3 linked regions of the Rattus norvegicus genome follow. The protein of the gene in region 3 interacts with the protein of the main gene of each other region in a pairwise test. Links are inferred from orthologs where the notes say so. Each region holds a gene or a part of one and is shown on either strand. Other genes may lie near its edges.

The links.
Region 1: the proteins of Tarbp2 (region 3) and Zfp346 interact in binary tests that used the Homo sapiens proteins (3 or more experiments, as listed by UniProt). The two-hybrid records come from large-scale screens. The link is inferred for Rattus norvegicus from reciprocal best matches to the Homo sapiens genes TARBP2 and ZNF346.
Region 2: the proteins of Tarbp2 (region 3) and Tceanc interact in binary tests that used the Homo sapiens proteins (3 or more experiments, as listed by UniProt). The two-hybrid records come from large-scale screens. The link is inferred for Rattus norvegicus from reciprocal best matches to the Homo sapiens genes TARBP2 and TCEANC.

Annotation. Positions count from the first base shown.
Region 1 is NC_086035.1:9,515,281-9,518,935, forward strand, and holds part of Zfp346 (zinc finger protein 346), read right to left. Parts: coding exon 3,591-3,655; intron 3,057-3,590; coding exon 2,964-3,056; intron 1,129-2,963; coding exon 984-1,128; intron 1-983.
Region 2 is NC_086039.1:31,587,942-31,590,969, reverse strand, and holds Tceanc (transcription elongation factor A N-terminal and central domain-containing protein), read right to left. Parts: upstream 1,658-3,028; coding exon 581-1,657; downstream 1-580.
Region 3 is NC_086025.1:135,530,696-135,533,467, forward strand, and holds the end of Tarbp2 (RISC-loading complex subunit TARBP2), read left to right. Parts: intron 1-252; coding exon 253-325; intron 326-514; coding exon 515-632; intron 633-954; coding exon 955-1,082; coding exon of another isoform or gene 1,083-1,086; intron 1,087-1,372; coding exon 1,373-1,574; intron 1,575-1,702; coding exon 1,703-1,860; 3' UTR 1,861-2,131; downstream 2,132-2,772. Other genes in the region: Npff (pro-FMRFamide-related neuropeptide FF preproprotein), read right to left, coding at 2,440-2,542, 2,645-2,772. UniProt on the Homo sapiens protein: Required for formation of the RNA induced silencing complex (RISC). Component of the RISC loading complex (RLC), also known as the micro-RNA (miRNA) loading complex (miRLC), which is composed of DICER1, AGO2 and TARBP2.

The sequences.
Region 1 (3,655 bases), on a different chromosome or scaffold from region 3:
TCACATCCTCAAAACCTTCTAAACACTTGTCTTGTTTCAATGATGAAATAAAACAAAAGGATCAAAAGTTCTATCGATAGTGTGGTCTTGGTCCAAAACAGAGAATAATATGCACACACACACACACACACACACACACACACACCCAGTGAAACAGAAATCAAAGGCCTCCTACTCGTGACTAATTGCAGTTACCCTAGGATAAAGACCTCAGGATGAAAGTGATGGCTGTGCCAATGCTGAGAGATAAAAAAGGCTACATGTGAAGTCGGACGCTGGGGAGGGACTCACGGCAGCTGCGACTGGCTTGCTAGGGTGTCTGGCTTTGAAGGCATTTAGAGCAGGCAGCCCTTGCAGGTCAAAGTGAGCAGGCATAACCTGAGTCCGTGAAGATGAGGATTTAGCTGTCGCCGGCAACACTCAGCAGTAAGAGCAGGTGGGGTGGGAGGAAAGAACTAAGAGGGCGAGCGAGGCAGGCGGAGAATGCTCAGTGTGCAGCTGGCCTTTGGCCTCCCTGAGTTATAATTACTGGCCAGGTTAGTAATTATAGGCTAAGAACCAAGTCACGGCTATAGAAAATCTGACAGAAGCACACCCAGGGAAGTAGAGTGAACCAAGTCTGAGGCCGAGTCTCAGCAGGGCAGGGTCTATGATGGACATACGCACTTTACACCGGCTCTCACATGGCCTGGTTGGCTCAGACTCCCTGTGGATGGTAGCTGCCTTCACCACGTGAGTGCTGAGAATGAGGGTATGCACCTCATCTAGCTTATGCGAGGCTGGGGCTGCAGCACACTAGGGAAGAACTACTCTACCAACCGACTCAGGCCCCCAGCTCATACTTGGATTTTTCAGGGCTTTCAAAAGCCTGAAATACCTGAGCCCCAGTCTACATTCTGAGGCTCCAGTGAGCATTCTGGAGCACCTGCAATGGTGCCCTGAGGACTGAGGGTCTCCAAAGCACTACTCAGGAAAACCAGTACCTGCCCCCTTAGCGGGCTGCTGCTTCAGCTTTAAGTTCCTTGCGTGGGTCTTCCCCAGGTAGTGCGACTGGGCCACAACAGGGGAGGAAAAGGTCATGTTACAGACGGGGCAGCAGTGGTTCTTGTCTTTGCTTCTGCTGCTCTTCTGGTTGGGAGAGAGAACACAGGTCTGATCACGCCAGCGCCCATCCAGAAAACCTCCAATGGTTCCCCACTGCCCTTTGGCAGGTGGACATTTAAGACCCCCTTCACATGTTAACCGTAACATAAGTACAACACACCTTTACAAAGCCCTCTCCAGCCATTTCACGTCAGGCTCCGTGCATGGTTTCCCACTTTATTCTGTTACTTCCGCATTTGCTTGCTTATCCCTACTGTCTAGAATGTTCCTCCTTATTCCCGCCTGGCTTTATTAGGTCTGCTATCAGCTATTCAGTGACTCTGACTTTAAGACACATGACTAAACCATCAGCAAGGCCCCTGCGTGCAGCAGTCCAGGAGGCGCTGGCCTTCCTCCTCAGCTGTGTTCCCAGTATGTCAGACTTTAGTGCACCGTTTGTCACCCTGAACTGACGGCATTGCAGCTGCCTTTCCTGTGGGCTTTAGTGCAGTGCTGGACGTACACAGCTTGACTTGTCATTGTCTCTTACCCCTGTACCTGCTGTGTCCAGCACACAGGAGATAGCCAAGGCTCTTAGAGCAAATGCATCAGTGGGTCCCACCTGCTACTAGAGTTATGATAGAAAGTGTATTTCAGGGGCTGGGGATTTAGCTCAGTGGTAGAGCGCTTACCTAGGAAGCGCAAGGCCCTGGGTTCGGTCCCCAGCTCCGAAAAAAAGAACCAAAAAAAAAAAAAAAAAAAAAAAAAAAGAAAGAAAGTGTATTTCAATCTTTCCGAGAAAGTCTGTCCTTTGAACAAGGTGTTTCTTCAACACTTCTCAGCCTTCCCACTGCAGATGGTTTGGCCTTGGCAATTCCTAGCTGGTGGTGGGTGCTGTGATCTCACCTGAGCTACGCAGTCATCTAAGAACTGAAGCGGAAAGGTTAACTGATCGTGCCCCTGTGGGTCTAAGCCATAAGGGCAACCAGGAGATGGTTTCTGGAAGGGACAAGAAGGCCCCTTTAAACCACTAGCCACCATTACAGGAGCCAGCAGCCTGGAGAGTAACCCCTTAGTTACCGACCATTTACTGGGTACTGAAGTTTTTACCTCACAACACTATCGAGCAAGGTCTCCCCCCTCCCTTTTTTTTAATGAGTGAATTTCCGAGAGGGAAGGTCTCCTATCTATTAAGTTAAGGAGCCTTGCCCACCGACTTCTCACCGCACTGTGCAGAACCCCCACACTCTGAAAGGCGTAGCACACTCAGGGACTGTGACTGGTTTCTCTGTAATTCTTATAACAATTCTGAGGTAAAAGTGAGTGTTTCTGCACTGTGTCAGAGGAGGCTCTCACTTTCCTCATTTGTCCAGGCAAATGCTGAACATTTGTTTTCTCTACAGCTGAGGAAAATAAGTGTCCCTTTACTCTGTCTACTTTAATACCCTCTGGGAGTTAAGGGCGGAGTCTAATAATGGCTCCATTAACTGAACTGTTGCTTACACAACAGATTTTGGGTCTGGTGCTGTTTTATAAGTCTTTTCTCAACTAGAAAAAATCTTGAAAGGTAACTATACTTTTTTTGTTTTGTTTTGAGACAGTCTTTCACGTAGCCCAGGCTGGCTTTAAGCTTGCTATGCAGCCAAGGATAACCTCACACGCCCGATCTTCATGCCTGCACTTCCACATGCTTTGGTTGAATGTGTGCACCCCACGTGGGGACCTATGCTTCTTTTTTTAACAGAGAAAGAAATCAAGGCTTAAGGATTAGAAGACTTGCTCAGGTTAGATAACAACACTGAGGCCTGCAGGCAAGTCAGTCTGAATCAAAGCCCATGCTCGCACCACACCAAGCTGCTCCGGACGCAGGCAGCTGTTACCTGATCGGAGTCCAGCCTCTTCACGTCCCCCTTCAGTGTCTCCATTCCATGGATTGCTAGGTATCTCTTTACTTTGTTGGCATGTTTTTTGCTCTGCAAGAACCCAGCCAAAAATCAAAGATAGTCAAACGTCATTTCAGAGAAAAGACACTCAGGCCATATCAGAGTTTCACCTGACTTTTTGTGAGGAAGAGAGAATGGGGGAAGAAAACTTCATTTACTGAATTTCTACCATGTGCTAGGTAGGCCCTTTACATGCTAGTACATCTAACGTCCCACAATCTATGGAAGAACTATTATCCACGAAGAAACTGAGGCCAAGCATGATGAAATTTCTTGCCTAAAATGAGGAACAGAGTTGGCTTCAAATCCAGGTCTACATAAAACCAAAGCTCACACTTCCACCTGTATCAAGATGTACAGAGAGATCTACACATAATGACCCTGATTTGGATGGGAGCTATGAGTCACGGAAATTAAGTCAATTTCAAGTCCCAAGCAGACATGCATGAAGGAAGCATCTTGTAGCTGTGGAAGAACGAAAGCTTTTACCATACAGGGCAGGAAAAGCAAGGTGTGGCACGGGACCTGGAAGGTAAATGCATGAATACAGTAGAAATGGCCTACCTGGTAATGTGCCAGCTTCTGAGACTCAGAAATCAGCATGGCGCAGCAAACTTTACACTGGGTGC
Region 2 (3,028 bases), on a different chromosome or scaffold from region 3:
CGAACTGCAACTTAAACCAAGAAATGACCAAAGAGCAATGCTGACTACTGGGTCCGGTGCCATAGGTTCATACTGAATTGCACTGGGCTTGGCTCTTGGCACCAGTACATTTCAATGCTTCTCAGAAAATTCTAATATATAGTCACTCCTGAGAACCACAGTGATTCTCAAAGTATCCCAGAGGATCACTTGGAGACTCTGCCAAAATACAGATCAGGATTCAAGGAGCACCAGGCAAGAGTCTTCATCTCTAACATGCTCTCAGGCTGTGTTGAGCCACAGTGCCACTCTGAGTCAAGTCTTAAGTGGCCACAAAGTACAATGTGATAGCCTTCTATGGCCTACACATTGGCAAACAACTCTCCCTCCTTGGTTTAGTACTGTAGTAAGAACAGTGCATTAAGCAGGTGTGGTGTAAAGCAAGCACTCCTGAGAATGGACCAGCTTGGGCTATATACTGACGTCTTTCACAAACCAAACTCCCGAAGGCAAAAATAAGATTCAGATTTTGTTGAAAAACGAGCACAGAAGGTTATGTTTTATATTTAAAACATATGTCCTTGAAAAGATTATTAACAAATCACAAGCACACCCAGTCGTTATGGTACCACTGCTCCCCACATTCATTACAAATGACATAGGTCATTTGTTCATCTGGGTTTGAATTCTGCACCCAACTTGGAAGGAAAAGTGTTCCTCTGGCAATTACAGTGACTGTGCAGTTGTATTTATCACAGCGCCTACACTTAATTTTATTTGTGTGTGTGCCATCAACTATTTGGGGAAGGTGATGTTCCTGAATACTGGATTCTATATAGGAAGCTCTCAACTGCTTCAGCTCCTGGTTTGCCATGTCCAGTACAGTCATTTCAGCAAATTCCCTTGCAGATATGGTTCCAGAGAGCAAATTTTGTTGTAAATGAGAATTTCTGGGGTTGTTCAAATTGGCAACTTTGCTTCGAATATTATTTTTATATTTTTTGATATCGTTTGAATGAAGAGTAAAAATGTGCTCTTCAATTTGTCTTGCTAAGTTTTGCCAAAAGTGAACTTTTGTGTGATCTGTGCAAGAACTAGCTAAGGCTTTATAGAGAAGTTCTATGCACTTAGATCTCACAGACACTAAGGGATTATCTAGCACACCTGAGCTCTTGCTCGGAGATTCAGAGTCATCCTCCAAATAGCCTTCATTAATTTCCATTTGAGCAGCACTACTTTCAGACCCAAATGCTGCAGCAGCCTTTGCAGCATCTTGGGGTGACAGCCTAGAGAGAGAACTACAGAGACCCAATATCTCATTGTGGCTAGAGCCTGGTGTCTCATCTTGGCTTTCATCCTGAGAAACTGCAACACTTACTTCCTTATTAACATCTGTATGGAGTACTTTAAGGCTTTCCCTTGTTTTGAAGTGTGTATTCTTATAGAAACCTCTCCACTTTGCCAGCAGACACTTGGCCTTCTTTTTTAAAGTCACTGATGGGCAGTTTTTGAGGACTCTGTAAACAGCTCTGACCACATCTGTCTCCTGCAGATGCTCCTTAGACACATAAATCATTTCTAGCTCAGTAAGCTGTTTACCAATATCCTCAAAATACCTTTTAGACACCAGTTGCTCAATCAAGGAAGCCCTGGCAATGATCTGGTTCTTGTCAGACATTTTCACAGCTGCAAAGAAAAAAAAAGAAAAAGATGGTTCAATCTTTCTAAGCTTGCCTTTACCAGCGGCAGCTGCTGAATAGTAAACTAGAACTTCTGCCAGCTGTTCATGTGATGTTTTCTGAAGGAGTACTCTAAGTAGATACCGCAGTAATGTGAACTACTCAACTCTCAAGACTTTTATTCTCAACAACAGAAGGAAAATGGCGCAGCAAAGTTTAAGCAGAACATTCAAAGACTTTGTAGAATATCAGCTATAACTTTCCTACCTCCAACTGTACAAATCAGTATCTATCTAGATTAAGAATATTCAGGAAGCTATCATGGTGGTATATGCTTGCAATCTTAGCACTTGTGGGGTAGAGTCAGCAGGAATAGGGATATACTGCCATCTTTAGACACACACAGAAAAGTTGAGGCTAGTCTGGAATGCATGAGACCCTGCCTAATCTTGGGTAGAATGTGATGATCATCTTGGGTATAAAATCATGTTCACATGAGCATCCCTCCATAAGACAAAGCTGAGCAAATACTCAGCTATTTTCTTCTCATAATCAGCTAGGAACTAAGATACTTAATGGCTTTATAATCTTTGTAGTGGTACTTTTTTAGTATAAAAAGGAAACAAAACAAAAAAGAGGGATGTTAATGGCTGAACCAATGTAAAGAAACGGGCATTAAAGGTTGGGAAGCAGGTCTAGTGAACCCTGAAATCCAACAGGATTCAATGTGCTGACATTTGAGCTGTTGGAAAAACAGAGTCACATACAGATGCCCTGCTTATTCTTTATTTGGAAATACTTTTAGATTTACAGAAAAGTTGTGAAAAATAATGCCAGCATTCCCTTTATACAAATTCATATGCCATATATATGTATTTTTTTGAAATTCTCCTATTATAGGGTCTTCTTTATTAATTTTGAAGGAAATTCTTTTCTTTTTTTTGTAATTTTATGTGTATGGATGTTTTCCCTGTCTGTCTATATGTATGTGTACCACCTAGTACCTGTGGAAGCCAGAAGAAAGTATCAGAGCCCCCTAGAACTGGAGTTACAGATGGTTTTCCTTGCAGAGTTTGGCTTCATTAACTTGTGTGTGTGTGTGTGTGTGTGTGTGAGAGAGAGAGAGAGAGAGAGAGAGAGAGAGAGAGAGAGAGAGAGAGAGAGAAGAGAAGAGAAGAGACAGACAGACCGAGACCATCCCCTCCACCCATGGGATGGAGCCTCTGAGTGGAAGTGATGAATAACACCTCAGGCTGGCTCTCTGCCTTGACCACTCTCAACCACACACAGGCATGGCCCCATTTCACAGGTATGCCTTTGCTCCAACAGCTCCCTAAACATAGCTTCATGTTATCACCACAGGTAGTTTT
Region 3 (2,772 bases):
CAGGACCGGCTGTACTGCTCCTTTACCTCTGTCACAGGGATTTTACTGAAGTATTTCCACATCTAAATGCTACTAGGAAGTAGCGAGCCTCACTTGGTGGAGACTGGGGAGGGAGGAGCAAGGCTAGATGTTTGGACAGATAGCTGCCTGCCTGGTGAAGAATTGGGAGGTGGCAGTGGCTGGCACTTCATCCTTGTCCAGGACAGAAGGAACCGTTTTCCTCAGCGTTGGTCTGGGCCGTTTTTCCTTTAGGAGCCCTCCCATGGAGATGCAGCCCCCTGTCTCTCCTCAGCAGTCTGAGTGCAACCCTGTTGGTGCTCTGCAGGTGTGCCTCATCTTCATTGTCGTGTGTGCTGTCTTCTCTGAACTAGGGCCCTGAGGCAGGGATGTGCGCCCTCGTGGGTGGGGTGGTCCTCCTTCTCATTCAGAGGCTGAGGCTCTTGGTAGAAAGCCACTCGGGTAAGGAACCTTTCTTTCCCCATTAAACCTTGGACTCTTCTGTTTTTCTCTCAAGGAGCTGGTGGTGCAGAAAGGCTGGCGTTTGCCAGAGTACATGGTGACCCAGGAGTCTGGGCCTGCTCACCGCAAAGAGTTCACCATGACCTGCCGGGTGGAGCGTTTCATTGAGATTGGTAACTGGGGAAAAGGGGGTTCACTCACCTTCTCTCCGCCACACTATAGCCCCACACAAGGTGGCTCTTTGCCTGGCTGTGCTCTGTCCCAACTTTCTTTGCTTTGCAGCTCCTTGCTCAGTTCTTCCCTCCCTGTCTCTTCCTTGTCCCTGCCCATCTTTCCCCTCTTTTCTGGCTCATCAACTCCTCAGTGAAAACGAACAGGCCTTGAGCTCCTCTTTGCAGTTATCCCATAAGGGGACCTTCTATCCAAGTTAACTTAGAGGGAAAGCATTGGTCTGTTAGGAATCCCCAAATCGAACAATTCCTTCCCTATCCTCAGGCAGTGGGACCTCCAAGAAGCTGGCAAAGCGCAACGCGGCAGCTAAGATGCTGCTTCGAGTGCACACGGTACCTCTGGATGCCCGCGACGGCAACGAGGCTGAACCTGATGACGATCATTTTTCCATTGTAAGTGGCTTGTGTGGGCTCGCCATGTGGTTCACACTGCAGGACGTGGTGTGGAATTGGGTTGGGTCTGTGATTTGGAAGTGAGTTGGACCTGCTTCTCTACCAAACCCAGGGCTCTTTGAACCTGTGACACCTAGCAGTCCCCTCAGCCTATGTGTAGGGTCACTAGGGAAAGCTGGCCTAGGGCAAAGGCCCTGTAGCAACTTTTCCTGGGATGAGGAAGCCTGCCAGGGGTCAGAGTATGCCCTGTTCTTGGGTTCTTAGCTGCATTCTCACCCTTATCTCATTAGGGCGTGAGCTCCCGCCTGGATGGACTAAGGAACCGTGGGCCAGGCTGCACCTGGGATTCCTTACGGAATTCTGTGGGAGAAAAGATCCTGTCCCTTCGCAATTGCTCCGTGGGCTCTCTGGGGTCTTTGGGCTCTGCCTGCTGCAGCATCCTCAGTGAGCTCTCTGCGGAGCAGGCTTTCCATGTCAGCTATCTGGATATTGGTATGGCCAGCCAGGGACTGGGGATGGAGGGGACTGGATCAGAGCAAGTATAAAGGAGTTGGGAGATGGGTGATGTACACTGCTTGGTGCCCCTCCCCACCAGTGCCTCCCTCTTTTTTGGCTTCCAGAGGAACTGAGCCTGAGTGGGCTCTGCCAGTGTCTAGTGGAGCTGTCCACGCAGCCAGCCACTGTGTGTTATGGTTCTGCCACTACCAGGGAGGCAGCCCGAGGTGATGCTGCTCGCCGCGCACTACAGTACCTCAGGATCATGGCCGGTAGCAAATAGCACCCACTACAGTGATGGATATCTGTTACTTCTTGCTCCTTCTGCCCTGGGTCTATGCGTCTGCCTAGCTCTGGTGCCCTCCAGAGGTGCCATCTCTACCTCTGACACAGCTTGCCTGCCTTGAGACTGAGGAAGGCAAAGGCAAGCAAGGAGCCATGAACCACAGGGCCCCAGCCAGCGCAGGGTTTGCCCTCATTCCATGGATGATGAATGAAAGGAAATTGGAATTCTATTGGAATCCAGAATAAATGCTGCTCTTTGGCTTCTTAAACCCTGTGTTCTCTGGCCCTGGGTCATGAGGGTGTCAAAGGAATACACAGTGTTTGTTCTCCTTCTGAACCCCATTCTTTTTGCTACAGGCAGGAGGCAAGGTGCAGTAGCCTTGGGGACCCTCCAGCAGAATGGCTGGAGACTGATTGAGTGGAGGTAAAGGAGGCTATAACTATTGCTCTTGGGCTCCCACCCGTTCCCTGAGAGTCTTGTCCAAACACAGATGCAGAAGCCAGACCACTTTATTTGGGGGCACACATGGAATGTGGGGAAGTGATTTTGCATGCAGACATATCACAGCAGATGATGTTACTTCTTCCCAAAGCGCTGAGGAGCGGCCAGGCTCCAGAACTCTCTAGCCTGGGGACTTAGCTGCTCCTTGCTCCAGGGCCCCCAAGCATTTCTGCCAAACCTTAGGAGAGATTCATCTTTAGTCGGCACTCCCTGTATCTCACCTTCCCTCACATCTTCCTCTGCCCTCCTCCCTTCCCAGCCTCTGCCTTTTGGAACTCACCTCTGGGGCTGAAACAAGAAGGCTGGGTTCCTTCTAGGTCTCTCCATGGCCTGGAGCAGAACACGCATGAGGGACCCAGGAGTCTGGATCCTGTCTGGAGTGTGGGCATACTGTGATGGGTGGGGTCC